7 linked regions of the Nothobranchius furzeri genome follow. The protein of the gene in region 6 binds, or shares a complex with, the protein of the main gene of each other region. Links are inferred from orthologs where the notes say so. Each region holds a gene or a part of one and is shown on either strand. Other genes may lie near its edges.

What was found.
Region 1: thoc5 (region 6) and thoc3 share a complex: the UniProt entries of both Homo sapiens proteins name them as parts of the transcription/export (TREX) complex. The link is inferred for Nothobranchius furzeri from reciprocal best matches to the Homo sapiens genes THOC5 and THOC3.
Region 2: thoc5 (region 6) and sarnp share a complex: the UniProt entries of both Homo sapiens proteins name them as parts of the transcription/export (TREX) complex. The link is inferred for Nothobranchius furzeri from reciprocal best matches to the Homo sapiens genes THOC5 and SARNP.
Region 3: thoc5 (region 6) and chtopa share a complex: the UniProt entries of both Homo sapiens proteins name them as parts of the transcription/export (TREX) complex. The link is inferred for Nothobranchius furzeri from reciprocal best matches to the Homo sapiens genes THOC5 and CHTOP.
Region 4: thoc5 (region 6) and alyref share a complex: the UniProt entries of both Homo sapiens proteins name them as parts of the transcription/export (TREX) complex. The link is inferred for Nothobranchius furzeri from reciprocal best matches to the Homo sapiens genes THOC5 and ALYREF.
Region 5: the proteins of thoc5 (region 6) and thoc7 are in contact, whole or in part, in a cryo-EM structure (PDB 7APK), measured with the Homo sapiens proteins. The link is inferred for Nothobranchius furzeri from reciprocal best matches to the Homo sapiens genes THOC5 and THOC7. Residues at the interface, in NP_001002877.1 of Homo sapiens: Pro48, Asp51, Tyr52, Tyr55, Cys59, Leu62, Gln63, Met66, Ala67, Gln70, Phe95, Lys99, Leu101, Asn102, Ala105, His106, Arg108, Leu109, Gly112, Arg113, Gln115, Thr116, Ala119, Lys120, Val123, Tyr126, His127, Leu130, Leu133, Glu136; in NP_079351.2 of Homo sapiens: Ala21, Asp23, Ile27, Leu30, Val31, Phe34, Tyr50, Met53, Leu54, Leu57, Cys60, Glu61, Met64, Gly65, Thr67, Leu68, Val70, Tyr71, Asn74, Met78, Tyr81, Ile84, Tyr85, Ile88, Glu89, Ser91, Ile92, Ala95, His96, Lys98.
Region 7: the proteins of thoc5 (region 6) and thoc6 are in contact, whole or in part, in a cryo-EM structure (PDB 7APK), measured with the Homo sapiens proteins. The link is inferred for Nothobranchius furzeri from reciprocal best matches to the Homo sapiens genes THOC5 and THOC6. Residues at the interface, in NP_001002877.1 of Homo sapiens: Pro406, Gly407, Asp538, Ile539, Val540, Asp541, Ala542, Gly543, Leu544, Ser575, Ile576, Ser593, Asp596, Arg599, Glu602, Gly603, Asn606, Val607, Tyr609, Arg660, Phe662, Arg663, Gly664, Pro665, Ser666, Arg667; in NP_001334633.1 of Homo sapiens: Val5, Pro6, Ala8, Val9, Pro10, Leu11, Gly12, Gln13, Val16, Phe17, Leu20, Gln21, Leu23, His24, Met25, Thr26, Phe28, Tyr45, Tyr80, Asp94, Glu125, Val126, Pro127, Glu128, Asn130, Gly146, Tyr170, His172, Glu188, Trp222.

The regions. Positions count from the first base shown.
Region 1 is NC_091741.1:68,371,711-68,375,879, forward strand, and holds the start of thoc3 (THO complex subunit 3), read left to right. Parts: upstream 1-1,369; 5' UTR 1,370-1,444; coding exon 1,445-1,624; intron 1,625-2,489; coding exon 2,490-2,646; intron 2,647-3,874; coding exon 3,875-4,079; intron 4,080-4,169. UniProt on the Homo sapiens protein: Component of the THO subcomplex of the TREX complex which is thought to couple mRNA transcription, processing and nuclear export, and which specifically associates with spliced mRNA and not with unspliced pre-mRNA.
Region 2 is NC_091755.1:36,669,277-36,673,217, forward strand, and holds the start of sarnp (SAP domain-containing ribonucleoprotein), read left to right. Parts: upstream 1-1,141; 5' UTR 1,142-1,216; coding exon 1,217-1,249; intron 1,250-1,987; coding exon 1,988-2,093; intron 2,094-3,941. UniProt on the Homo sapiens protein: Binds both single-stranded and double-stranded DNA with higher affinity for the single-stranded form. Specifically binds to scaffold/matrix attachment region DNA. Also binds single-stranded RNA. Enhances RNA unwinding activity of DDX39A.
Region 3 is NC_091751.1:23,238,926-23,242,582, reverse strand, and holds the end of chtopa (chromatin target of PRMT1a), read left to right. Parts: intron 1-2,031; coding exon 2,032-2,209; intron 2,210-2,280; coding exon 2,281-2,433; intron 2,434-2,519; coding exon 2,520-2,722; 3' UTR 2,723-3,157; downstream 3,158-3,657. UniProt on the Homo sapiens protein: Plays an important role in the ligand-dependent activation of estrogen receptor target genes. May play a role in the silencing of fetal globin genes.
Region 4 is NC_091752.1:50,607,747-50,611,693, forward strand, and holds the start of alyref (THO complex subunit 4), read left to right. Parts: upstream 1-1,147; 5' UTR 1,148-1,274; coding exon 1,275-1,514; intron 1,515-1,778; exon of another isoform or gene 1,779-2,011; coding exon of another isoform or gene 2,012-2,218; intron 2,219-3,474; coding exon 3,475-3,633; intron 3,634-3,718; coding exon 3,719-3,866; intron 3,867-3,947. UniProt on the Homo sapiens protein: Functions as an mRNA export adapter; component of the transcription/export (TREX) complex which is thought to couple mRNA transcription, processing and nuclear export, and specifically associates with spliced mRNA and not with unspliced pre-mRNA.
Region 5 is NC_091743.1:56,272,747-56,276,359, forward strand, and holds thoc7 (THO complex subunit 7 homolog), read right to left. Parts: upstream 2,277-3,613; 5' UTR 2,190-2,276; coding exon 2,171-2,189; intron 1,964-2,170; coding exon 1,840-1,963; intron 1,736-1,839; coding exon 1,608-1,735; exon of another isoform or gene 1,309-1,607; coding exon 1,222-1,308; exon of another isoform or gene 1,104-1,221; coding exon 1,046-1,103; exon of another isoform or gene 968-1,045; coding exon 901-967; exon of another isoform or gene 809-900; coding exon 739-808; exon of another isoform or gene 667-738; coding exon 605-666; 3' UTR 501-604; downstream 1-500. UniProt on the Homo sapiens protein: Component of the THO subcomplex of the TREX complex which is thought to couple mRNA transcription, processing and nuclear export, and which specifically associates with spliced mRNA and not with unspliced pre-mRNA.
Region 6 is NC_091757.1:44,988,790-44,991,570, reverse strand, and holds the end of thoc5 (THO complex subunit 5 homolog), read left to right. Parts: intron 1-524; coding exon 525-633; intron 634-706; coding exon 707-808; intron 809-878; coding exon 879-975; intron 976-1,053; coding exon 1,054-1,165; intron 1,166-1,239; coding exon 1,240-1,343; intron 1,344-1,442; coding exon 1,443-1,530; intron 1,531-1,616; coding exon 1,617-1,732; intron 1,733-1,822; coding exon 1,823-2,013; intron 2,014-2,109; coding exon 2,110-2,173; 3' UTR 2,174-2,281; downstream 2,282-2,781. UniProt on the Homo sapiens protein: Component of the THO subcomplex of the TREX complex which is thought to couple mRNA transcription, processing and nuclear export, and which specifically associates with spliced mRNA and not with unspliced pre-mRNA.
Region 7 is NC_091745.1:30,130,796-30,134,581, reverse strand, and holds the end of thoc6 (THO complex subunit 6 homolog), read left to right. Parts: intron 1-499; coding exon 500-603; intron 604-680; coding exon 681-718; intron 719-790; coding exon 791-839; intron 840-961; coding exon 962-1,033; intron 1,034-2,305; coding exon 2,306-2,408; intron 2,409-2,473; coding exon 2,474-2,523; intron 2,524-2,617; coding exon 2,618-2,680; intron 2,681-2,795; coding exon 2,796-2,906; intron 2,907-2,975; coding exon 2,976-3,101; intron 3,102-3,175; coding exon 3,176-3,256; 3' UTR 3,257-3,286; downstream 3,287-3,786. UniProt on the Homo sapiens protein: Component of the THO subcomplex of the TREX complex which is thought to couple mRNA transcription, processing and nuclear export, and which specifically associates with spliced mRNA and not with unspliced pre-mRNA.

The sequences.
Region 1 (4,169 bases), on a different chromosome or scaffold from region 6:
CTCTTTTCTATATCTTTTCTCTTCCTGTTTTTTTTTCTTACATGTTTGTTAAGACTATTCTGGAGAAAATGGGCATCCAGGGGAAGGTGACAGCGATGACCAGCTTCTGGAGCTGATCAGGGAGGACATGAGGCTGCAGAGCAGCAGAGGGCACAGGAGAGAAGAGAGAACTTTTACAGGCTTTTTACTTTGATAGAAAAAATGGTTAAGAAAGATTAAACATGTACATATAAAAGAAACATCTAAATAAAATCAGTTCTGTATTAAACACTTGAATTTTATTTTTGTTTACAAATGTGAATTGTTTAATATTAAAGGGTATCCGCTGGGTCTTGAAAAGTCTTAAAAGGTGATAAATCGGTTTTGGTCAAATTAAGACCCTTAAAAAGTATTAAAAACTATTATCACATCTTTGCTCAGGCTCAGCTTGTCGAAAGTATTTTCTCTGAATTAGCTCTCCAACAGTCAAGGAAATTATTAAAAAGCTAAATAAAATTTCGAGCTCCTTCCTTCTCCCTTCTGCTCAGCGGTTCCACGGTTGCTAGGCGACAGAATGTTCGTGAGGGAGTGGCTGGAATTCATGAAGTCTAGGCTTGTCCAAATTCACAGCCGTTAACATCCGGTCTACTCAGCCGACGGAGGACCCAGCCCAAGTCGGCCGAGTAGGCTGGGTCTTTCGAAGGATGCAGACCCTGAATTGAGACACAGCGGATGTGTGTGTCTAGTTGTCGTCTCCGCCCTTTTGGTCTGCCAGGCAACAGCATTTGTTGCATTTTTCATACATGAAGTGGGGGTGGAGGAGTCTGGCAGGGGGTGACTTGCTCTTTAAGAAAAACAACACCTAATTAATTACATTTTATTTTTCAAATTTTTAGGTCTTTAAGGCTTTTTAATCATAACCAATTAGAAAACTCTCAAGGCCCAGAATAAGCATAGATAAAAAGTCTGTTCTAATAGCCATCAGGTTTAAATAACTAAGATAATGTTATTACTGTTTATTGTTGTTTTGAGGGTCATTATATCAATGTTTCAAAGTGTTTTGTTCCGTACAATTTAAAGTAAAAAACAATCATCTGCCGAAATTAAGCATTCCAGTTTGAATACAGGAAAAACATTGGCCGTTTATCAGTACTCAGGTATGCTAGTATGTTCTTGTGTACTAGTCAAGTATGTTGTTGGCAAGGACACAAAAGTCTGTTCTACCGAGTACAGGAGGATGAGGACGTCAATTGGAACATAGCCGTACTCCGTTGTTTCCTCGCAACAAGCGCTGCTTCTTGCTATTGAAGGTGAGCTCAAGTCGCCATTGTTCTGCAGCCAGGTCCTCTTGGAATTACGACCCTGTTTGCTTTGCTTTCCATACATTCTAACTAAACACATCCGAGTCAACAGGCGTCGCTCGCGCGCTCTCCACTCAGCTTCAACATCGAGTTCTCAATCCAAGATGGCGTCTCAGTACTACCGGGAGATGCAGGACAACTTCAAAAACAACAATAAAAGTCGGGAGTTCCAGGCTCATTCAGCGAAAGTTCACTCGGTGGCCTGGAGCTGTGACGGCAGGAGACTGGCTTCCGGTTCGTTTGATAAAACTGCCAGCGTGTTTGTCCTGGAAAAGGACCGTTTGGTGAGTTCCGGTTGTTTCAATGATGTAGCGCGCCAGCAATGACGGCGCTCTGGGTCTTGGCGTGACCTGCTGGCTACCGTCATGGTGCGTTGGGTTGTGACTTGTGATTATTTTGTGGCTCAAAATAAGCCGGAGAGTCGCTTCGCAGTCGGATCTCCTGCGTTGCGGGGGACACTGGGCGACCCTATTGTGAGATTCGTTGAAGGGTGGACAGTCGCGATTCAGGTGTTGTTCTTGGAAGGAGGAGTTCTGTGGTTGCTACCCGGTAGCTGTCTCCGTGTTTTTTGGTAGGTAGACGTGTTCGAGACAGTGGATGATGTTCTTCTGCGGTTCCGCGCGCATTTTTCTGGGTGTAATGGGGGTTACTGTATTCAGTCTGGTCGTGTTGTTTAGTGTGTTTGTGGCAGCCTCTTGGGCGTCTAGCCTGCATCACCAAAGACAAAGCTAGCTGCTGTGTGTATTTGCTACGGCTAACATTAGAATTTTAACTGTTTTCCACACCGGTCTAATCCCATCATTAACAGTTACAACAGAGTAGATAACTGGTCGTTTAATAAACGGAATGGGTTTACTGAGTTAAGTCATTTTAATATGAAATGCCTCTTCGCTGTAAGAAACCAGGAGAATGAGATTCAGGCTGCATTAGAAGACTGTCACCCTTTGGCACATTGCCATTGAGTTAAATACAACTACTGATGACTTCTATAGCGTTTTTTTATATCCTGCTTAATGTGGCTAAATATGTTCAGGACAAAGTTATAAAACTAAACTTCATGCATAAAAGATGCAAGACTGAATCTGCATTTTAAACAAAACATTTTAACAAAGTAACTGAGTTTATTCAGTTAGATTTTTTTCCCACCAGGTGAAAGAAAACAACTACAGAGGACACAGTGATAGTGTGGATCAGCTGTGCTGGCATCCAACCAACCCTGACCTTTTTGTCACAGCATCTGGAGATAAAACCATTCGCATATGGGATGTACGCACCACTAAATGCATCGCCACAGTCAACACGAAAGGTAGGGTGATCACACCTGTTGGAGCTGAAATCTGACCCAGCAGTGCTTTGAACAGATAGACGGTCACATCTTCAACCAGCACTGGTCTGGGTTCTATATTTCTGCTGTTGCTTTTCCTCTCACTTTTGAACAGTTTAGGGTGAAGCTTACAGCTTTTTGTTTTTGTAGTTTGGGGGGGGGGGGGGGGGGGCAGTAATATTTATTAATGTGTTACAAAAGGATCCACAGACATCAGGACTAGTTTTCCCTGTAATTGTTGTTTTTTAACTACAAAGTTATTTTAAAGTACAAATGTACATCTTTTAACATGTAACTACATAATGAAAGGCGGCTGGGTAAATAATTGACTGGAACAATGCATTGTCTGATATTTTCTTATTTCCTCAGTAATCGTTTATCAACCCAGCTTGTGCAAACCCAACCAATCTCAACAGGTTTTTTGATCAGATGGAAGAAGAAAAAAACACGTCAAACAAAAATATTCTGTCTAGTATTAATTTCTGCAGATTTACACAAAACCCAAACATGCTGAGCTCTGGTTAAAAACTTAAACAGCTGCAACATTTAGGCCGTCTTATTGTTTTAAAGAAAAATATGAGGAGGAAAAGCTTTACTTGAACTAGTTTTAAAATACAGTTTGAGAAAATAGCTTGGAGCCAGAAACTGAAACCGAAAAAATTAAATGTTTTCCAGTTTATTTTGGGTGATGACATTTAGAGGCCGACTGATATATTAAACTTTTTCTATATCAGCCATCGGCCGAAATTATTTATAAAAGCTGATAAAAAAATACAATAAAATCAGGCCAACTGCCCCTATTACTAGGATGAAGATAGGACTCAAAGGACCCCAACACACCGTTTTTTAATGTTTTGAGTTTGTTTTATATTACAACTTCAATAAATAATTAAGAGATTCATTTACTTTATGCTGCACACAGTGAGTGTTCAGTTGTCTTTCACAATCAATGTGCTGCTAAAACATTTATATATTAGCTTTAATAATTGGCTTTAGATATCAGCCATTGGCAACAAAATCCTTTAAAAATCTGTATCAGCAACAGCCTTAAAAAACATGTCGGTCAGCCTCTCATTAAAGTACTTTGATACCATGGGTCGTCATTTGTACTAGAAATAGAGAAATTAAATGTTTTTGTCTTATTCTAGCAGTTGAAATTATGTTGTTCAAAAATAATGTGTTTTTTTTTTATTGTTTATTTTGACTTTAGGAGAGAACATCAACATCTGCTGGAGTCCCGACGGTCAGACCATTGCTGTTGGGAACAAAGACGATGTGGTGACTTTCATCGACGCCAAGACGCATCGCTCCAGGGCGGAGGAGCAGTTCAAGTTCGAGGTGAACGAGATCTCCTGGAACAACGACAATGACATGTTCTTCCTCACAAACGGCAGTGGCTGCATCAATATTCTGAGGTAGGATCCAAATGAAGTACCGTATTTTCACGACTATAGGGCGCACTGTGTTATAGGGCGCAGCTTCAGTTACGGGTGTCTTTTTGGTAT
Region 2 (3,941 bases), on a different chromosome or scaffold from region 6:
TCCAAGCTGACATCCATCATGGACAACCCAACTGGCTGCATAATACAAGAGCACTGAGCAGCACATTCAGCAGTAGACTTTTATATCCCCTATGTAAAGAAGCATGACTGCAGGTCACACGTGTCAGGTTCTTCAGTACAGTTAAACATTATGAAGCGATTTAGCATATTTTTGACTGGCACACTGGCATCTGCTTGTGTGGCTTATGTGTAAATGGACATCTGTGTAAATAGAAAGGTGATTTGTTCTATATTCCTCGCTGTCATGAGAGCTCTGTAACACCAATGATTCTCATTCCTGTGATAAAAAAGCTTTAATCGTGTCAACTTGTTCTCTGACATAAATCATTTAAATGAGTCAAAGTGTTGTTGACCAAAGGGAAAGTGTACTCAAATACGTTTAAATAACAGTAAATGAAATGGCCTTAAACGTCACTTGTTTTAAAATCCCAGTAAATGTCCATCTTTCTCTCTTTGTCTCTTGTGAGCCATCAGAGGAACAAGAAAACGGTGTTGCCTAGCAACAAGAACATCTCTGTCTCCCGCTGTCAGCAGTGGTCCAGTAAGACAAAGGGAAAGATAATTTATTAATTTCATGCATGAATCATGATAACCAGTCAGTCTGGGCTTTACCTAAATCAACCTTCATCTAAGAAACACTTTGAACTTTAATTTTTTATAATGTTTTGTTCATTTTGTGTATTTCATCCAAAGAACTTACTTGGGTATTTTCTCCGAGGAAGATGGTAAATGGCCTGTAATTGATATAGCACATTCTAGAGTCCTGGAACCCCCCAAGGAGCTTTACAACACAATCAGTCACCCAATCACAGACACATTCACACTAACAACACTACAGTGTTTGTCAAAATGTCATCAACAAGGTAAAAACAACTGTTGCTGTGTTAAAAAAAAGAACCAAGTAATGTACATGAATCAACAACACTGAGCTGTATTTTTATTTTTTAGGAAAACAATGTTTACATTCTTATCTACAGAAATAACGTTCTATAGTCCATTGTCATGGCATAAGTCCAGCTACAACTTTAAATTCACTGTTCATCCCCTGTGTAAACGTATAAAGCTCGAAGAATTTTACCTGCAAAAGGTCAGTGTCCAGCAGGGGGCAGTGTGAGAAGACAGCGCGCAAGTGGTGGAGCTCAGAATGAGAGGAGCTAGTCTTTTGATTGGAGGAAGACTTACGTCAACAAAGAAAGATGGCGGAAGTGGTGGAACTGCATAAACTGAAGGTTGGTAGCGACCTAAAATTACGATTTTAGTTTGATTTCACACCTTTATAAGTGACGGATGGGTGTTGATTTCTGTTTATTACAGAATGACGTAGTGGGTTCAGGGTAAATGGGATTAGAGGTTAAATCGTCTCGTCTGTGTGTGAAGGCTGAAAGCCGGCGTCGTGTGTCCGAGGAGCTACCGCTGCTAGCGCGCCGAAACATGTAGCTTTGCAACATGGGACGGTCCAACATATGATTTTATCAAGATATGACTAGATTAACGAAAAATAAAATAAATGATGGCATGATTAAATCAACCAGTGTTCAGTAGGGTCAGGTAACTATCAAATATTTCTCACGCTGTTAGATTTTACAGATCATCTGGTGGAGCAAATTATCTAATAAAAACAAAAATCTTGATTTGGAAAAATAAAATCCAGTACTTTTATAGAATAAAATAGTCACTGAAATGATACATTTTAAAGCATTTCTGTTCTCATCATCCAGTAAAACCGCAAACCCTTCTGGCATATAAACAGGGTTAGCAGATCCAGAAGCTGCTCTGTTTTAAACCAGGTTCATCATTTGTTTTGTACAGCGTCCATTTCTACGCACACAAAACAAGCCTGTTTACAAACGGCTGCAACTCAAATGTTGACATTTGCCAATGATCCTAAAGAGGCTGCTGACTAGACTACTTTACTTACATTTTAAATGATTTAACATGTTTTCCTTCCCCTTCTTCTCATGACGCAGCTTGCTGAACTGAGGCAGGAGTGTGATGCTCGAGGTCTGGAGACCAAAGGGAACAAAGGAGAGCTCATCGCCCGACTCCAAGCATACCTAGATGAGCACGGTGAAGGTACTTTCAGTTCACTTCTCTTTATTCACACACACACACACACACACACACACACACACACACACACACACACACACACACACACACACACACACATCTTCCATTCATTTCTGTGACTGTATAACCATTACCAATGCTGATCTATTCCTAACCCTAACTAAAACTTAATTCACACCATACCTCTAAAACCAACTGGTAAGCTTCTAAAAAAAATTAGGACCAGAAAAATGTCCTCACTTTGTAGGGAAAATGGTACAAATGGTCCTCAGTAGGTGGTGTGTACAAGAGCACACACTCACACACACACTCACTCACACTCACTTACTCACACACACTCACTCACTCAGTCATTCACTCTCGCACACACACACACACATTTGCATTGCTACTCATGTGGAGATCTGACATTGACTACCATTCATTTTAGTGACTGCATTATTATGCTTGTCCCTAAAAGATGACATTAACAGTCTCTTGTTTTATTGACATTGTTGTGTGTATTTTAAGCAGGGTGGTTTTGTAAAGTCTGTAATAATTAGAAGCACATCTGCTTTAATTAGAAACACGTCTGTAATAATTAGAAACACGTCTGTAATAATTAGAAACACATCTGTAATAATTAGAAACACGTCTGTAATAATTAGAAACACGTCTGTAATAATTAGAAACACATCTGTAATAATTAGAAACACATCTGTAATAATTAGAAACACATCTGTAATAATTAGAAACACATCTGTAATAATTAGAAACACATCTGTTATAATTAGAAACACGTCTGTAATAATTAGAAACTCGTCTGTAATAATTAGAAACTCGTCTGTAATAATTAGAAACACATCTGTAATAATTAGAAACACATCTGTAATAATTAGAAACACGTCTGTAATAATTAGAAACACATCTGTAATAATTAGAAATACGTCTGTTATAATTAGAAACACGTCTGTAATAATTAGAAACACGTCTGTAATAATTAGAAACACGTCTGTAATAATTAGAAACACGTCTGTAATAATTAGAAACACGTCTGTAATAATTAGAAACACGTCTGTAATAATTAGAAACACGTCTGTAATAATTAGAAACACGTCTGTAATAATTAGAAACACATCTGTAATAATTAGAAACACGTCTGTAATAATTAGAAATACGTCTGTTATAATTAGAAACACGTCTGTTATAATTAGAAACACGTCTGTAATAATTAGAAACACATCTGTAATAATTAGAAATACGTCTGTTATAATTAGAAACACATCTGTAATAATTAGAAACACGTCTGTAATAATTAGAAATACGTCTGTTATAATTAGAAACACGTCTGTTATAATTAGAAATACGTCTGTTATAATTAGAAACACGTCTGTTATAATTAGAAACACGTCTGTAATAATTAGAAACACATCTGTAATAATTAGAAACACATCTGTAATAATTAGAAACACGTCTGTAATAATTAGAAATACGTCTGTTATAATTAGAAACACGTCTGTTATAATTAGAAACACGTCTGTAATAATTAGAAACACATCTGTAATAATTAGAAATACGTCTGTTATAATTAGAAACACATCTGTAATAATTAGAAACACGTCTGTAATAATTAGAAATACGTCTGTTATAATTAGAAACACGTCTGTTATAATTAGAAATACGTCTGTTATAATTAGAAACACGTCTGTTATAATTAGAAACACGTCTGTAATAATTAGAAACACGTCTGTAATAATTAGAAACACATCTGTAATAATTAGAAACACGTCTGTAATAATTAGAAATACGTCTGTTATAATTAGAAACACGTCTGTTATAATTAGAAACACGTCTGTAATAATTAGAAACACA
Region 3 (3,657 bases), on a different chromosome or scaffold from region 6:
GGGCTCGACTCCGTACGGACTTGCGTGCCTGCCGGATCCCTACGCAAGGACGGATAATGGCGTTGCGTGTCTCCGCACTGACGCAGACGGAGAAGCATAAATCAGGCTTAAAGCTGTGTTCAGTAGGGAAAAGGGCACAAGTTAGCAAAGGTCTGATGGGTTCTCAAGTCAGAAAGATTCTGTTCTGGTTTTATCAGTGAATTATCATTGAAACCAAACCCAAGCCTGACAGAAGATGCATTTGCTGTTTGGGAAGTACAGTCCTGATCAAAAGTTTAAGACCATTTGAAAATGGCCAAACGTCGTGTTTGTTTGGTTGGTCATTAACAAGGTCCCAAGTAGAGCTTCAATGTGCAACAAAAAAGAAATGGGAGTGAGACAACGATCAAATCGAAACGAGCTGCTTTATAGCTGATAAAAGGTTTAAAGAACAAGTTCACTGAGAAACCATTTTTATGTGTTATTTTTTTAAATGATTGGTCACTCTGAGTTTCACATGCAGGCTGAATATGTGAATAGTCTTCTACCCCTTTTTCCTGCATTAGCCGATAGAAAACAGACGAGGAAATTCTCAGGTTAGCAAAGCCAGTCAGATCTACCTCACAGTAAGTTAACATTCATGGACTCGGCCATCTTGGCTCAAGATGGGGAAGGCAGTTGTTGGTTTAGCATTCAGGAGAGACTAGAGCTTGCCTTGGCTAATAGAAGCTAACTGTTAGCATTAGCTGCTACTCTATACAGTAGAACTCATTCATTTATGGAGGTAAAACATCAATGATGCAAATCAAACAAGGTTAGTGGTAGAGTTGTGTTGCTGTTAGCCAATCAGGGGTGAGATGTCCAAATAGTCTTGTTGTACCCTTAAGCCGGGCGGACACTGTGCGACTTTTTCACTCGTAGCACTCAGCTTCAGCTCAAACTGTACGACTTCCTCACAGAGCAGATCTCACGAGTCGTGCGCTCACACTGCACGACCCAGTTCTCGGATGCGATCTGACTGCTCACGCTGTACGTCTGGTAGCAACACGTCGGCCCTAAAAATGTGCTAAAAATAGCAGTTTTTACACAACACGTCAGACTTTTTTGTCTTGTTTTGCCTGTTGTCCTTCGGGAGTGCTGCAGGGGGACACACAGGGATTTATGGGGGTTGGATGAGGAAAACAAAATAAAGAAAGTAAATCTGTGTTTTGTGATCAGTTTAATTTGACATGAACACGACAAACACGCTTTCTTGACAACCTTTGTGAGTAAAAAAAGTGTAGAAAATAAAAACGAACAACGTGTGTTATTAGGGAAATAGCGGGCGAGCGGTGTTGATGCATGCATGTGCCGTGAGCGGTTCTGGTACTTTTTGGGTCGCAGCTGCTCGCAGCGCCGCTTCAACAGTGCGATACCCTCACGAGGGACGAGCAAAATATTAAACACGCCAGAAGTCTGTGCGAGCTCACGATTGCTGATCGGTAGCTGGTCACGTGGTGTTAATCGCCTCTCGTAGCCCCCTGTACACGACGCTCAGCGCAAAACTCGCCCCGATCTCGTGGATTCTCGCACGAGTGGAAAATCGGCTCAAAAAAGTGAAAAAGTCGCACAGTGTACACCCGGCTTAACCTGAGCTTTCCACTGGATGCATAAGTGACGCGGTTCCTCACGAGCTCAGCGGTGCATATCGTCTCACCGGGAGATTTTCTGACATGAAGCGGCAGTGAATGTGTCACAGCTGGACCCACAACGTTACAAAATCACAGGAAAACGCTAGATCAAGCATGATTTCAGCGGTTCACGTGATAACAAGCATGGAGAAAGATGGTAACGGTATCCTAGCAGGTCTGTGGTGTACTTACTGTTTACCTCAGTCACAGAGGTTTTACAGGTAAATATAATAGAAGCTAAGTGCTACGTACTACGCTTTGTGGACATTTTGTGACGCTCGCGCGTCTGATGGAAAGCTGGGATAACAAGCTGGACCTACTCTTGCTTCGCTTTATTTGTGTTCCTGATTTGTTGCTGTGACCGATCCTTCTGAACCACCAGAGCCTAAAGCAACGTCTGGGGAAAGGCAACATCCAGGCCCGGCTGGGCCGGCCCATTGGGCCTCTGATGCGGGGTGGACCTCCTGGAGGAAGAGGAGGCATGCGGGGGATGACCAGAGGAGGCCTCAGAGGGGGTTTGAGAGGAGGGATCATTCGTGGGGGTCTGTCTTCTCTGAGGGGTAGGTGTCCGTCAGCGTGGAGATGGTAGGGGTGTTTCCTCTCAGCTGAGCAATCACATTGTGTTAAACAGCCAGGCGAATGCCTACAGGTGGACCTATGAGAGGTCGGGGGGGCATCGGACGCTTCCCCATGCGTAGAGGAGGTCGGCATCGTGGAGGAGTGGCAGGAAGAGGAGGAGTTCTGTCTCGAGGAGGAGGTCGAGGTGGAATGCCCAGAGGCCGGGGTAGAGTTTGTATTTATTAGTACAATCGTTTGATGACTCGTGTCTTTTTTTTTTTCACTGTCTCACTGATGATGTTCTGTCTTCAGGCCGTGGTGGACTTCGTGGACGTGGGGGATTTGCTGGTCGTGGGGGCCGCGGCCGTGGGCGGGGCAGAGGACTTGGCCGGCCCACCGTTACAAGGGAACAACTGGACAATCAGTTGGATGCGTACATGTCAAAGACCAAGGGACACTTGGATGCAGAACTGGATGCCTACATGGCCCAGGCAGATCCCGACAGCATGGAGTGACGGCCCAGCGAGACCAGAGCTGAAGACTGGGGCGTAGCGTCAAGTGGTGTTGCTGCACCCTGTTGTTTAGCCGTGCATCCACCTGCTGCTGAAGAGCCAATCAGCTGATGAATAAACTCAAGGGGACTTTGACCCTGATGTCCACGGACTTCCTGTATGAAGTTTTAGTCAAACAGGTGTTTGGTGTAAACTGTTTAGTTTTTCTTAGTTTTTCCTCAAACCTCCAGAGTTTCTTTGGCTCATCTTAAACTTGCAGTGGAAACGTTTTTTAAAATGATAATTTTACAAGAATTTTAAGACGAGTCATTTTCTCTTATATTTGACAGGGAAAGAAGTGCTCAGGCTTTGGGTTGTTTGTATTCCGTGAAGCTGACAAGATGTTTGTTTTAAAATTATTTCCCAAGTTGTGTTAAGGAAATAAAATGATGAATGAGATATTTTCTGATTCATGTCAAACATTTAAGGCCTGTAGGTGTTCTGGAGCATGTAGAAAAGCAGATGTCCTGGTGTGATCTTAGCTTTTGTTCTGCGATTGGTGCCCACAGGGACATGGTTTCCATGGCTGTGTCTCACTGGGAAAACGTCACCAGTTAGAAGGTTGGACGTTCAAACCTAAGACCTACAAACTTCTCTATACTACATCCTGTGAACCATGTGTGTGTGCGCACATACCTAAAGGATTATTAGGAACACCTGTTTAACTTAATGCAATTATCTAATCAACCAATCCCATGGCAGTTGCTTCAGTGCATTTAGGGGTGTGGTCCTGGTCAAGATAATCTCCTGAACTCTTAACTGAAGGTCAGAATAGGAAAGAAAAGTGGTTTAAGCAATTCTGAGCGTGGCATGGTTTTTGGTGCCAGACGGGTCGGTCTGAGTATTTCACAATCTGCTCAGTTACTGGGATTTTCACCCACAACCATTTCTAGGGTTTA
Region 4 (3,947 bases), on a different chromosome or scaffold from region 6:
ATATTTTAAAATTTTCTTGAGCCAGTGTGTGCTAAAACAACCCTGTACAGGGTTAATGAAATGTCACTCAGACCCCGACCACCCTCTATGGCCAGAATGTCGCACTTGCAACTTCAGAGTTGGACTTGTGGAGCTGACATGCCTGGTGCTGCAGTCTGCTTCCTGCATGTTTTAGATCATAAACACTGCTGGTTTGGTCAATTTAGTGATGAGCTGCTCCTGTAGAAATTAAGGAAGGATGGGGAGACATTATTATGGATTAAGGTGTTTAAAAAGGTGAATGCACAGTTTCACTTTTGGTTTTACTAACAGAACACTAGGGGCTGCTAAAAGCAACCCAAAACTGGTTAGTTGTGCAAAAAAAAAAAAAAAAAAAAGCAAAAGTTTAGAAATCTAAGGGGTCAGTAGCCATCACCAGTTCTGTGTAACTGCTTAAAGAGCAAGTCACCCCCTACCAGAGTATTACTCCGCTCCCACTTCCTGTTTGAAAAATGCAACAAATTCTGTTGCCTAGCAGACCAAGAGGGCGGGCCCGCTAACAAATACACACACACACAACGACATTGTGACATCATATGCTACCAGCTAACGTTCTAGGGTACCCCTTTGCCAATAACGATGGCAGATTTAAATTCAAATGCAGTGCAGAGTTTTTACCTGACAACGGCACAACACTCACAGTTTTAGGCAGAAAATTTAAATTTTAACTTAAATGCACAAAAGTGCAAAACTACACGTGTCTGCAGCACGGTTAGATACGCATTTATATAGTTTATCAGAAAAAAGTTGATCTGGGAGTGTCTTGCTCTTTAAACACTTAACTATATTATTTTAAAATCCTTGACTTTGTGAAAGTTTCTTTTAAGAATTGATGATTGATGTGGTTTAGTTTTTCCCGGTTATTTCTTCAGTTTACAGTTTTAGTTTCGATCAAATGTTATATGTCATATTTGTCAAAAAAATATTTATTTATTTGTTCTGTATTTTACCACATCTGTGTAGAACTTTTGCACAATTCGCACATTTTCCTGTCAAGGTTTCTTTTAGATACATGCTCCGCCCGGTTCCGCCTCATCGTCGACAGTAGAGGGGATCACGTTCACGTACTCACGTCAGGCTTACGTAGAGAACGTCGTGTTCTACTACTTGTGTTTAGCAGCTGCTACAAGAATCAGACACCGTTGAGCCTTGAAAGGGACAGGGAGAGGGACCGACCGTGTCTAGGGTGTAACATTCTTAATTTGTTCAAAGTTTAGCGTTATTGGGGCAGCAAAATGACCGATAAGATGGATATGTCTTTAGACGACATTATCAAACAGAGCAGGCAGCAGAGAGGTGGAGGCCGGGGAGGAAGAGGCCGTGGCCGCGGAGGCACAGGCAGCGGCCGGGGTGGAGGCGCTGGGCGACTCGGAGGCGGCGGCGGAGGCTTTGGAGGCCGAGGCGGTGGATCCGGCCCCATGAGGAATCGACAGAACCTGAGTCGCGCTAGAGGCAGACCTACGCCTTACAGCAGGGTATGAGAATGTTAGAGGAATAAGCAGAGAAATGTTTTCATATTGTGTCCCTTCTCCCGCAACCCAAATGTGTAACGCACGTCGAGCTTCAACAGCCTACGGAAGGAGTGGAGGCCCTCAGCGCCATTTTGAATCCAGCCCCGCATTGTGAAGCTAGTCGTCAGTGAGTGCTCAGTGAGAGGTATCCTGGCCACGGTGGTGAAAGAAACCCACTTCGTCAAGAGTATCACTCGAAAGTGTGTTTTCACTGCTTGTCGGAGCGGGATATGTGCTCAAGTTCCCGCCAGCGCAGCGACCAGGCGGCCTTTTGTTCGGGGAGTGGGTTCTCAAGCCCTCTGGTGGCTTTTTCTACCAGTTTGCCTGTTACTTGTGGATGGAAAAGCGGACTTTTACTCCTCTGTTAGTGCCCAAACAAAACCGGTTCTTCGTCTTTTAAAGTGTGATCGAGTTGGTAGCGAAGCCAAACAAAGCCCCAGTCAAAATGGCGTGGTTTCAAAATGGACGCTCACGCAGAGGGGAGATCTGGCCATTTTCACTCCTCATCCAGCACACGGACTCTTCCCCTACTGAGAACTGTTCTGAGGTCCAGGACACAAAGTACCAGCGCTGGAGACGCCGCTGCATCGAACAGGAGTCCCCGAGTGTCCCGAGGAGCTGGCTTTTCTGGAGGGAGGCGCAGATGGCGAGAACAATGGGCATCTCTGGTAGCTAGTCTGAGGAGTTTTACAGGTTTAGCATCAAGTCTGTGGGTTTGGGTTTAAGAAATATCTGTGATGGTAATACTTAGGTTTCTGGAAAGGCTCGTTAGTCTATTCTAGGGTTTATTTCACTAGAAACCCAGAACAGGACTGTTGAGTTTTGTTTTTATGGTTTTGTTTTTAATCCATTTACTACATCAAACTTGGATCTAAAGAATACATTTTTATTTTAAGTGGGCTTTAATGGGACCATTTTTCTTTAGACAGTTGATTAGAGTGATTGAAACAAGTGGCTCCCAGATCTTTTAACTTCTGATTTACAAGATCTGTGATTAAAAACCTTCATTATTCATGACGGACACGTACAAATAGCCAATAAGACAATTACATTAGGACAGGAAGATGACTCCATCCACTTTCACCAAGACTAAACGCTTGTCAGTTGGTCTGTTTAGATGTTTTCTCTTCATATATGTCAATTATTTTTAAATTTGATAATCTCAACATTGGTGTCCTGTCCTAACTTTGGGAACCAGTGAGTTTGAACTAGGGATGCACCGATACGATACTGGTATCGGCACCGATACCAATACCAGTATCGGTGAAAGTTAACCAATACCAGGAACCGATACCAATGCAGTTGCTTGAAAATGGCTTCACTGTAACTTGTCATTTCTGTTCACCTAATATTTTAGTTTTGTGATGATTTCCATTCATATATTTTACTTTTTATCTACCTCACAGTCTTTTCCTGTTGAAAGCAGAGAAGAAAGTAAAATCTGCATTCCAAATCATTGCATTTTTTTTTTTTTTGTGTGGTAGAAGTATCTGTATTGGTATCGGCGAGTACTAAGATCGGTTTGGAAAAAAGTGGTATCGTTGCATCCCTAGTTTGAGCATGTTTTTACTAACTTAAATCAGTATGGACTTTATTGTGATGTTTGTACACATTCCGATTTAAGATGGCCCAACATTGGTGTGTTAACGTTTAAAAAAGTTCAAAATTTGAATCGAAGCGAGACTACTACAAATCCCCTTGCTTTTGAGTATTTGTGTGCACGTCCCTTTGAGCTGATGCACTTGCTCGTTGTGACGGGGTGGGCAGGGAATACTGGGGACCCCCCCCCCTCTAAAGGGAGCTGAGCACCATGTTGGAAGTGGAGCCCCCTGCTTGCCCCAACAGCCAGCCGTGTGGACTCAGTGATGGGCAGAGGCAAGGGGATCCTGAAGTCAGCAGGTGCGTTCTCTTTCATCTGTTGCAGCCTAAACAGCTCCCAGACAAGTGGCAGCACGACATGTTCGACAACGGCTTCAGTGGCTTCAATGGTGCTGCTGGGGGTGGCGGGGGAGCTGGTGTGGAAACTGGAGGGAAGCTCCTCGTCTCCAATCTCGACTTCGGTGTTTCCGATGCAGACATTCAGGTACTCCAAAATCCGCGCTTCACTGGTTGGTTGTGTTTTATGGCTTGTTGCTGTCTTAGACTAATCTTGGATGTACTTTTTCAAGGAACTTTTTGCGGAATTCGGAACTCTGAAGAAAGCTGCAGTTCATTACGACCGGTCGGGAAGAAGCTTAGGAACAGCAGATGTCCACTTTGAAAGGAGAGCTGACGCTCTAAAGGCCATGAAACAGTACAACGGCATCCCACTGGATGGTACGCTTCAGACCTTGTTTACATTTTTCTGGTTTGACATGACTAAATAATTCAAACTTTCTTGAGTGTTCAACCCCCTTT
Region 5 (3,613 bases), on a different chromosome or scaffold from region 6:
TGGTTCGGTTAAAACAATTTACAGGGGTTTGCAACAAAGTACATAGTGATCATTCACATAGGAAGTCAGAGGCTTTCTTTCATTGTGGTTTATTTACTACATCAGTAAATTTTGGCATTCATTTTTAAATAAATGAGCAAAACCATAATTCTTGTTACAGACGTCTTATTCTCAGAAGAATGTAATTTTGTGAACTTTAAATCAGAAACTATTTGATAGTTTGGTATGAAAAAATGATAATTTAGTATGAAAAAAATGATAATTGGGTTTAATGACACTTAGATTTTACAAGTATTCAAACTCTCACTTATAGTGCAGAAACTTCCAGAGAAAATACAGCACATATGAATGTTCAACAACTGTTCTGTCCTTGACTGACGCGTATTAAATTTCTTTTCTGATCAGAGTTTCAGTTGATTTTCTTAAAAGCCTGGAAGCTTTGGTTACATTTTTACTGAGATTATTTTAATGAAAAGAGAATATAAGAATTAAAGATATACTCCAAGATGACAGCTTTATTCAAAAATACATACAAAAAAGGATTCTTAGACAAACTAAATTTCAATTAAAAGCTGTGACTCCTTCAGTTGGGCTCTTTATGTGTTCAATCCCCATTCTCCATGGGACTCTCCTGACTGTGGTCGTCACTATCTGACTTTTCATCATCTAGGAAAGACAGGATAGACGATGAGGGCAGCTCTGACAACAGTTTGTCTGTATAACCAAGTGGCTACTTACTTTCTAGTGTCTGCTGCAGCTCCTGAATGGTAGTAAGAAGAACATGAAACTGCTTCTTCCTCAACTCCAACTAAAGAGAATGCAAACATGGCATAAAAAGTCAGTAAAAATACAACTAAATCTGATACTTTAACAACATTAGGCCGCTGTGTTTGAGTTTACCTTTGCATCTACGTTCTCTTTGATGTGAGACAGTTGCTGGAGTTCTTTATCGAGTGCCTCCAACTGCCTGGAAGGTAAAACAAAAATGAGCACTTTATTGAACATGAAGGGGAGCTTGACATGTTTTATCGATAGGCTGACTTACTGGAGTGTTTCATGTCTGTCTGGGTGTTGCTGGATTACCTTTGCTAAAGCATCATATTCTTTGGAGAGACAGAGAACAGATACTTAAAAAAAAGTTTACATCCTTTTGACAACGCACATTTGATACCACATCTGGTAATTTTTCTGTAAATACAACAGATGTTAAAATGTCCTTACCCTGGCGATTTTTTCGTATTCTCTTGGCACGCAGAATTTCTTTTTTGCATTCTGTGATCTTCTCATGTGCAGATGTGATGTTTTGTTCTGCGAGGTGCGAAAGAAAAAAGTTTGATTAGTGTTAATTGGGCGATGGTGGCACAGGAGTTAAGTGCTCGCCCCATAATCAGAAGGGTGCAGGTTCGAGCCCCGCTCAGTTGTAGCTACGATGTAGCTCATCACCACCAGTGTGTGAATGTGTGTGTAAATGTCTGATTGTGTTGTGTTGTAAAACGCCGTGGGGGGTTCCAGGACTAGAAAGCTCTATAAAATACAGGCCATTTGGCATGTATGACTAAAAGAATTAACAAAAAATTCTGTGACATTGAAAACAAAGCCGATCTTACCTATGTTTGCGTAGATCTTCTCATAATTCTCCATTTCACGAAGATTCATGTCATAAACCATCAACGTCTTTCCCATAGAAAACTCACACTGAGCCAGAGTAGCCACCATCCTCTGGTACTGAGTGAATCTACACACAAAGAGCCCAATGTTCAGCATTTCACTGCAGTTGTGTACTCGGCATTCAAGATGTTACAAGCAAAAACTGGAGACAGATATATTGCTAGCTCGTACCCTTCTTCTAGGGTCCCAGAAGGTGAGTTGCACCACTTGGTGAAGCTCTTCAGCAGCAGATTGATTCGGCGGTCATCTCCAGCTCCGTCACCGTCAATGAGAAGACGTTTTCGAATCACCTCATCTGTGGAACATGCAATAAAGCAGCTGAAGAGCGTTGAAAACATAATGCATCTATGCTAAGTGTGCTAGCTAACGTCGCTATTACAGGTAGCATTTCTGGGTATTTTTCCAGATAATAAGGCGCAATTTACAATGTTTTAAACTTAGACGAAAACAAAAGTAAAGAGTAACTTAAGTGCTGAAATTAGTTAATGATAAAGCCACAAACCATCAGTTACAGCTCCCATGTTGCTGTTTTTCTTCTTCTACTACTTCCGTTCTACTGGTACTGATTGATCTTTTGTCTTTAGGCAACTCAGACACAGCTGAGCTCGTTACTGCCTTATCTGGTAAGAGGACGTTACTGCATGTTGTGATCTTTTCGCTTCATCTTCGTTAAATAATGTGGATTTTAAGTATACAGTGATTACAGTGATTATGTGACACAGAGATTTAGTTTAAATGCAATTTAGTAATACCACTAGGTTTTTTTATCACACAATCAATTACAAATTACACAATCAAGTGATGAAATTGAATTACGGTAGAATACATTTTTCAAAGGCAAAATGAATGCTGTAATCACTTTTTGCTGTGTAAAAAAACGCCTCAATTATGTATGAGCAAAGCCCTGCTCATAAAAACAGCATATGTTGTGTTTGGTGCTGGTTTAGTGGTAGATCAGCATACAATGCTGGTCTAGCAAGATGGTTCAGCATCCAGTCACCAGCTTCCCATACTGGACAGGCATTGTACACATCTTTTAACACAAAACCCTAAACTTTTGCAGCTGTTCAAAAATAAGCACTTTCTTGACATCAAAACGTGTCTTTAAAATTCACAGACATATATGTGAAATATATGGCACATATCAAATAGGATTAGATTAGGATTAGAAAATAGCCTCTCCCTGGGCTGCCACCTTAGCGTGGTGGAGGGGTTTGAGTGCCTCAATGATCCTAGGAGCTAAGTTGTCTGAGGCTTTCTGCCTCTGGTAGGGTCACCCACGGCAAACAGGTCCTAGGTGAGGGATCAGACAAAGAGCAGCCCGAAGACCTCGTATGATGAATTATATAAATGGAAAACGTGTTGCCTCACCCGGACGTGGGTCACCGGGGTCCCCCTCTGGAGCCAGGCCTGGAGGTAGGGCACATTGGTGAGTGCCTGGTGGCTGGGCTTTCACCCACTGAGCCCGGCCGGGCACAGCCCGAAGAGGAAACGTGGGTCCCCCTTCCCATGGGCTCACCACTCGTGGGAGGGGCCAAAGGGGTCGGGTGCAGTGTGTGATGGGTGGTAGTTGAGGGCGGGGACCTTGACGGTCTGATCCTCGGCTACAGAAGCTGGCTCTTGGCACATGGAATGTCACCTCTCTGGTGGGGAAGGAGCCTGAGTTCGTGTGTGAGGTTGAGAGGTTCCAACTAGATATATTCGACTCACCTCAACGCATGGCTCTGGCTCTGGAACCAGTTTCCTTGAGAGGGGTTGGACTTTCTACCACTCTGGAGTTGCTCCCACTGAGAGGCGCCGAGCAGGGGTGCGCATACTAGTTGCCCCCCATCTTGGTGCCTGTACTTTGGAGTTTTCCCCAGTGAATGAGAGGGTAGCCTCCCTCCGCCTATGTGTGGGGGGACGGGTTCCGACTGTGGTCTGTGCTTATGCACCAAACTACAGT
Region 6 (2,781 bases):
CCTCTGCTGGCAACTAAAGGAATCTGATGACAGATTATAGGGAGATCTGCATTGCAGGCATAACGCTACCTCAAGTGGGAGGGTGGGGGCGAGGTGAGGGAGAAACTAGCAGCATCGTAGGTCTGCAGCACCTACAGAATCTTGTAAGCATTTTCTCTCAAAAGCACTCTCTCCCTTTTACTGACGTTTGTTCCTACATCCTTTTCTAACTCTGGCCAGCTGCAGAAGCCTCTTTTAGTGCAGGAAAAGCAAAATGTGAGCTGTGTGGCTGTGAGTGAGTGACAGTGTGTCTCTGAGTTCGCCTTTACTGCAGAGTGTCGTGCTTGAAAGGTAACCATCAGCGTTCTTTGTGCTCCCTGGGTGCTGCCAGCTCCTGTTCTGACCACACCCAGTTGCTGCTTTCTGACTCACTGCAGCGTAAAACAAGAAACCCAGGAGGGCTATCACTGGAAGGATTCATAAAAAAGACCCCTACACTGCAGCGGCTTGGTTAATCAGCACATATTTTTCTCTGGTCTCCACAGACGGCAGCGTTCTTCATCTCTACTTCTTCTACCTCATGAATCTGAACATCATGACAGTCAAGACTAAAGTCTCCACCACCACAGATCTCAGCTCAGCCATCAGTGCAGGGTGTGTGTAGACAGAGCAATTGGACATGTCCTTAATGAGCTCCCAAAGGTCTAATGATGACTTCTTTTTTCAGGGAGCTTCTGAAGTCAGACACCCTCCTCAGCTGCTTGTACACTAATGACCAGGGAAGAGAAACTCCCAATCCAGCCAATCGCTACCAGTTTGATAAAGTTGGGTAAGTGTGTCAAGCAATCAGAAGCAGTATGAGTGTGTGTCCTGGGTCACACAGTTAAATTTCTCTTTAGGATCGTTTCATTTGCTGATTATGTGGAGGACCTGGGATATCCCTACATGTGGGTCCAGAATCTCGGAGGATTGCATTTTCCTAGTGAATCTTCAGAGGTGTGTTACAGCATCTAGAAGTATCCCAGCAGAGCAAAGTTCAAAATGTAAAACATTATTTTTGTTTCCCTGTGCCAGGGTGTGCTTGTGGGCAGTTCCCTGAGCGCCAGCCACATGGAGAGCACCATGAAGCTGCTGAGGGGGCGAGTCCAGTCCCGCTTGGCTCTGCAAAAACAGTTTGCCTCGTTAGGTGTGACAACTACCAGTCCGATACTTCCGATTGATAATAATTGTAGAGGAAACTGACTGTGTTCCTGCCCTCAGAACACAACATTATCCCAGTCTCCAGTGAGTGTCAGCATCTGTTTCCAGCCAAGATCATCTCTCGTTTAGCACGTTGGACCACCATCAGTCACCAGGAGTACATGGTAGAGTTTAAGTCTTTCATAGTTTATTTGAAACAAATATTTTGATGCTTTTCTTTTGTTTATTTGTTGAATGAGTGTGTTATTGCTCTTGTTTTGAAGGATCTGCCGTATACCCGTCATGTAACTGAGGCTGGACTAGCCAAGGAGACAGACCTGTTCTTTATGGGAGTCCTAGAAAGAGGCACGGGTATGTCCAATCACTGAGAGCAGAACTGGCTCTTGTTTATTTGTTTTTTCTCCAATAAACAAACACCACGCTTGTCCTTCTCTCAGCTCGTCTCCATGCTGCAGTGGTTCTGAGTCCTCGTTACCCAGCAATAGCTCCTCTCTTCTCCCTGAGTCTAAACTGGAAAGGAGAGTGCAGCGGACGCACTGATGACAACCTCAGAGTATGAAAATCCAGAGTTTTAATGTTTTTCACAGGGCTTTTTGAAAGCTGTGCCTCCTATAATTATAGAATATACATGACCTGTCTTTAGGCCATGGAGAGTGAAGTCAACATTTTCAAACACGAGCTGCAGGGACCACGGCCGGGACATCAGCTGCTGACCAATCAGATCGCACGGATGTGCGTCTGCCTGGATGTGTATTTGGAGACTGAAGGACAAGATGTCAGCGTAGAGGGACCTCGTGAGTTCCCCCGAGAAAAAATGTGCCTGCGCACTGTCAGGTATGCAGTTATTATTGTGTTGTTTTTGTGTGTGTGTTTATTTTACAAACGAGATAAAAGACGCTGACTAGATTAACCTGTTCTGTCTCCATGCAGGGGGCCAAGTCGTCTGAAGCCATTCAAGTACAACCATCCTCAGGGTTTCTTCAGCCACCGTTAATCGTCTCTACACTTGTCATCACGTTGTCTTTGTGACGTTTTCATACACAAAGTCCTCTTTTTAAACATTTTGAAAATAAAAGAACATCTTAGTGTTTTCTGGAACAAATGTTTTTTGTCTCTGGCTCTTGTGCACGTAGGCTCACTCTGTATTTTTGTGTTTCATCACTTTTCTGTCCTCTTAACTTCTTTTGTACTGTTCTATTTATAGCTTTTTTAGTCAGAGATATCTGATTATTATTCAGTTGTGGATCCCTGCTGGAGCAAGCTGAGTCATTTCCACAGAGGCCTGTGGAAGGCAACATTTTGCTTAATGTGTGCAGCTGACCTTTGACCTCTCAGGCTTTAGCAGCGTGTTCTTATTGGAAATATGGATACGTTATTTTAGCACTTGTATCATAGCGGGTTTTGGTTTAGCATCACAAGTTAAGCTCGATATCACGCTTCAGAGTTATTAAATTATAGATGATTCTATGTAATTACACTGAGAGTGTCTATATTTAGCAACCCCAGTGGCAAAGATTATAATTTGATTCATTAGATCGTTTTTTCTTGATTTTCTAACTTCCACTTTTGGTGTTTTGCGCTGCAGCAGCTGCTTAAAGCTGA
Region 7 (3,786 bases), on a different chromosome or scaffold from region 6:
AAACCGCCACAGGCTGTGGTGTTTCGTTTACCTGTGTCCAATAAGCATTTAAAGCTCCTGTCAGACTTTACAGTTTACTTATTTTTAAGTTTTAAATGTTGCACTGCAGCTTAATGTTTTTTTTTTTTCCATAAAATGAATTTTTAATCACTCACTCATTCTCAGCAAGACTTTTTATGATGTTAAACTATTAATTTTAATACTAAAACTTAATTTTTCAACAGAAAAAGGCACACATTCCACATTGTGAAATGCTAAAACTTCAAATTAAAAGCCTCCTCAGCCTATTAAGACATTTTATTCTTAGACTTCTGGTGTGTTCAGCCGTGTTTTAATGTGAAAAGCATGAATGCCATCCTTCTACTTTTTACTTTAATTTTTAGGTGGTTTCAGATTAAATGAGACAGTTTCTAACAAATCCAAACTAGTGTTAGGTGTGTTTTTGATTTGAGGTCCTTTAATCTTCATCTGATTTGAGTTTTTGTCTCTTTTGCTGCAGCTCATGAAGGTGCAGTTTTCAGTCTTCTGTCCACAGACTGTGTCCTGCTGAGTGCTGGAAATGGAGAGATCAGTGCCTGGAGCTGGACTGAACTCATCAAGAAGGTAACGCTACATCTGGTAGATAACCTGTACAGCAGCACAGCTTCACTTGTGAAATGTTGTGAACTTGATGTCCTCAGAATGTGAAATGTCTTTGGACGAAGAGGCCCAACTATAGGTGAGGACATCTCTCCTGCCTCCCGTCCAACCTGAAGGTCACGTACTAATGCCTCTTCTGGTCTTTTGGCAGATCAAGTCTGGAGATCCCAGAGATTAACTCCATGGTCATCAACACCCAAGTGAGTGAGTGCGCGCGCGCACACACACACACACACACACACACACCTGCTCAACAAAACAGAGTTTAAGAACTGACTGAAGAGGATCTGATATGGAAACATCTGGCCTGTGTGTGTTTCAGGACAACAGTCTGGTGATTGGAGCTGGAGACAACAACGTCCACATCCTGGACCTGGAACATGGAGACTTTAAGGTGCATCAGCTTCTCTGCTTATTGTCTTTGACTAATGAAACAGCATCAATGCTAAAGGAAACTCCCGACGTCACAGAAATCATTTTACTTTGCCTAAACTAACTGTTGGCGCTATTTGGGTTACAGTGATCCCTCGTTTATCGCGGTAGATGCGTTCCAGACCTGGCCACGATAGGTGAAAATCTGCGAAGTAGGGACACCATATTTACAGTACAGTGTCAGAACCCAAGTTCCCAGGCCAGCCTCTTCCAGCTAGCCGGCCTCCACTATGGACCAAAACTCCCAGCATGCCCCTCGCGGGGATTCCCTCCACGTCGCATCTACGTCACAAACCGCGGCTATAATCGGAAGTCGCCTTTCCAGCTCACCACTCAGTCATCGTTTCTTCATATTCATGATCAGAGTTTCCAACCTACTGATCCATCCCACGAACTATCAGCTCATAGTAAGTTATCTTACTTACTTCTGGAAAGCCCGGCATTTCCTTGTCACTTCGTTGATGCTCGAACGCTCGGGGGTTTCCTAGATTAATCGTGAGCCGGCGTTTCACCGACGCTATCTCTTCCGTGTCTGTGAAACCACGCTCCCTACAAGCTCAACTCCCGAATCCAGCCGACCAGTCTGATATACAGTACTATATTGAATTATCGTATGATCACATTCTCTTTTTGTGGGTAAAACTCAAGAAAAAAAATTTTTTTTACTTGTTTTTTTTATAGTTTTATTACAAAAAGTGCATTTTATGATGAAAAAAAACAGGAATTTCTTGATATTTCGCATAGAAAAATACCGCGAATCGGCGAATTTCCCTTGAATAAGTCTCCAAAGAAAAAATCCGCGAAGTCGTGAATCCGCAATAAACGAACCGCAAAGTAGCGAGGGATCACTGTACTTACAGTTGTTGGGTTATTTATTGGGTTTAGTTGTTGGTTAATGATGATTTAATTTATTTATTTTAGTTTTGCCTGTGAGAATCAGCCAGGAACAATAAATATGGGGACTGGTGTTAGACCAGCATGCACTGGGGTAGGCCTATAGTTTTTTTTACCAGAGCAGGAGAAGCGGCAGGAAATGAAGATGTGCATCATACTTGACAAGTTGGATGAATAAACACCAAAAATATTCATCAGTTAAGATTGTTTGGACATTGGACTTTTTTTTGCCTGCGTACAAGATATCACTTGAGTGCAGCAGGGACCCAAGGATTTAAAACCCTCAGGAAAATCGCCACTAAACTAACCTCACACAAACATGTCTGGCCTATGTGTGCAGACAGCCCTTCAGGGTCACACAGACTATGTGCACTGTGTGTGTGTGCGTGAGCGGGAGTCCGAGCTTCTGTCCGGCAGCGAGGATGGATCTGTGAGGATGTGGGGTGAGTTACAGCAGCTGGGTAGGCCTTCCTCAGCAGGTGATGGTGATGATGTTGTTGTTGTTCAGACACCAGGACGGGCCAGTGCGTTCACTGCATTGAAGTCTACAAGTACGAGGTGAGAGCTACATGCCAGTCAGCAAGGATCACCACATTGTGAGAATATGCTGAGTGTGTGTGTGTGTGTGTGTGTGTGTGTGTGTGTGTTTCAGAGCTGCGTACGGCCTCAGTACGGTAAATGGATCAGCTGTGTGACCACAGACTCTGACTGGATGGTAAGAAAACAGCAGCTTCAGCTGATCAGGACTGTGTGGTACCGCGCATTAACAGCTGCAGGTCTCACCTGGGAGGACAGTTTTACACACATGAGTTGTTTTTGTGTCCCTGCAGGTGTGTGGAGGAGGTCCGTCAATGTCTCTGTGGCACCTCCGCTCTCTGTCCCCAACATCCGTGTTTCCCCTGAGCGGCTGCCAGCGCCAGGCAGCTTTCCACCAGGACATGGTGAGACACAATGGCCCACTTCACTCAGAGTGGAGGACAAACAACAATATGTCTGTGTCTGTTGTGTAGATCCTGGCAGTGGGGCAGGGTGCATTTGTGTCTCATTGTCTTCTGGGTGGAGATGTCAAAGCTCAGATCCCATGCACACCCTCAAGTCTCAACACTCTGCAGCTGAACAACAGCTCAGAGCACCGGGTGAGTCCCTGAACGTAGCACAGCAGGTTCCTAACCGGTGTGAGGAGCACCTGGTGAAGGTGTTTGTGTTTCAGGTGCTGACGGTGGGAGGTAGCAGCAGCCACATTGACGTGTTCACCAACCTGTCCTACAGAACCTTCTCACTCAGCTTCTGAACTTTCCTAATAAAATGTTTTTTACAAACAGTTTTTGTCATTTAAATGATCAGAACCAGGATCTAATCTGGCTCAACAACGTGGTTCTATAAAAAACGTATAATCCTCTTCTCTCAATCCAGCAGACAAAAATCTCTCCATCACAGGAGGAAACTGTAGCTTCAGCTCTTTAGAGGACTGCGTTTCTCTCAGGGCTGTCCCTCACAACTCCTGCTGGTGAAGATACTTGAGCTTTTCTTTTCTCAACTGGTACTTTTTGTTTTGAGGTCAAAAACTTTCGGACATCTTTCTCAAGCTGATCTACATTTTGGAGTGAATGATTTATAACAGGTTTTTAATTAGAGCCTTAAAGATACAAACTAGCGTCTCCTCTTTCCATAAAACTATATTCGTAACACATTCAGTCAATTCTGAACCATCTCTTGGAAACAATTTTGTCTCTCTATGACCGCTGCCAGAGCTTGGGCCACGATGCCGGCAGTAAGTTGGACACTGCCAGGCCTGCCATTTGTCACCAATTCAGTTCATTA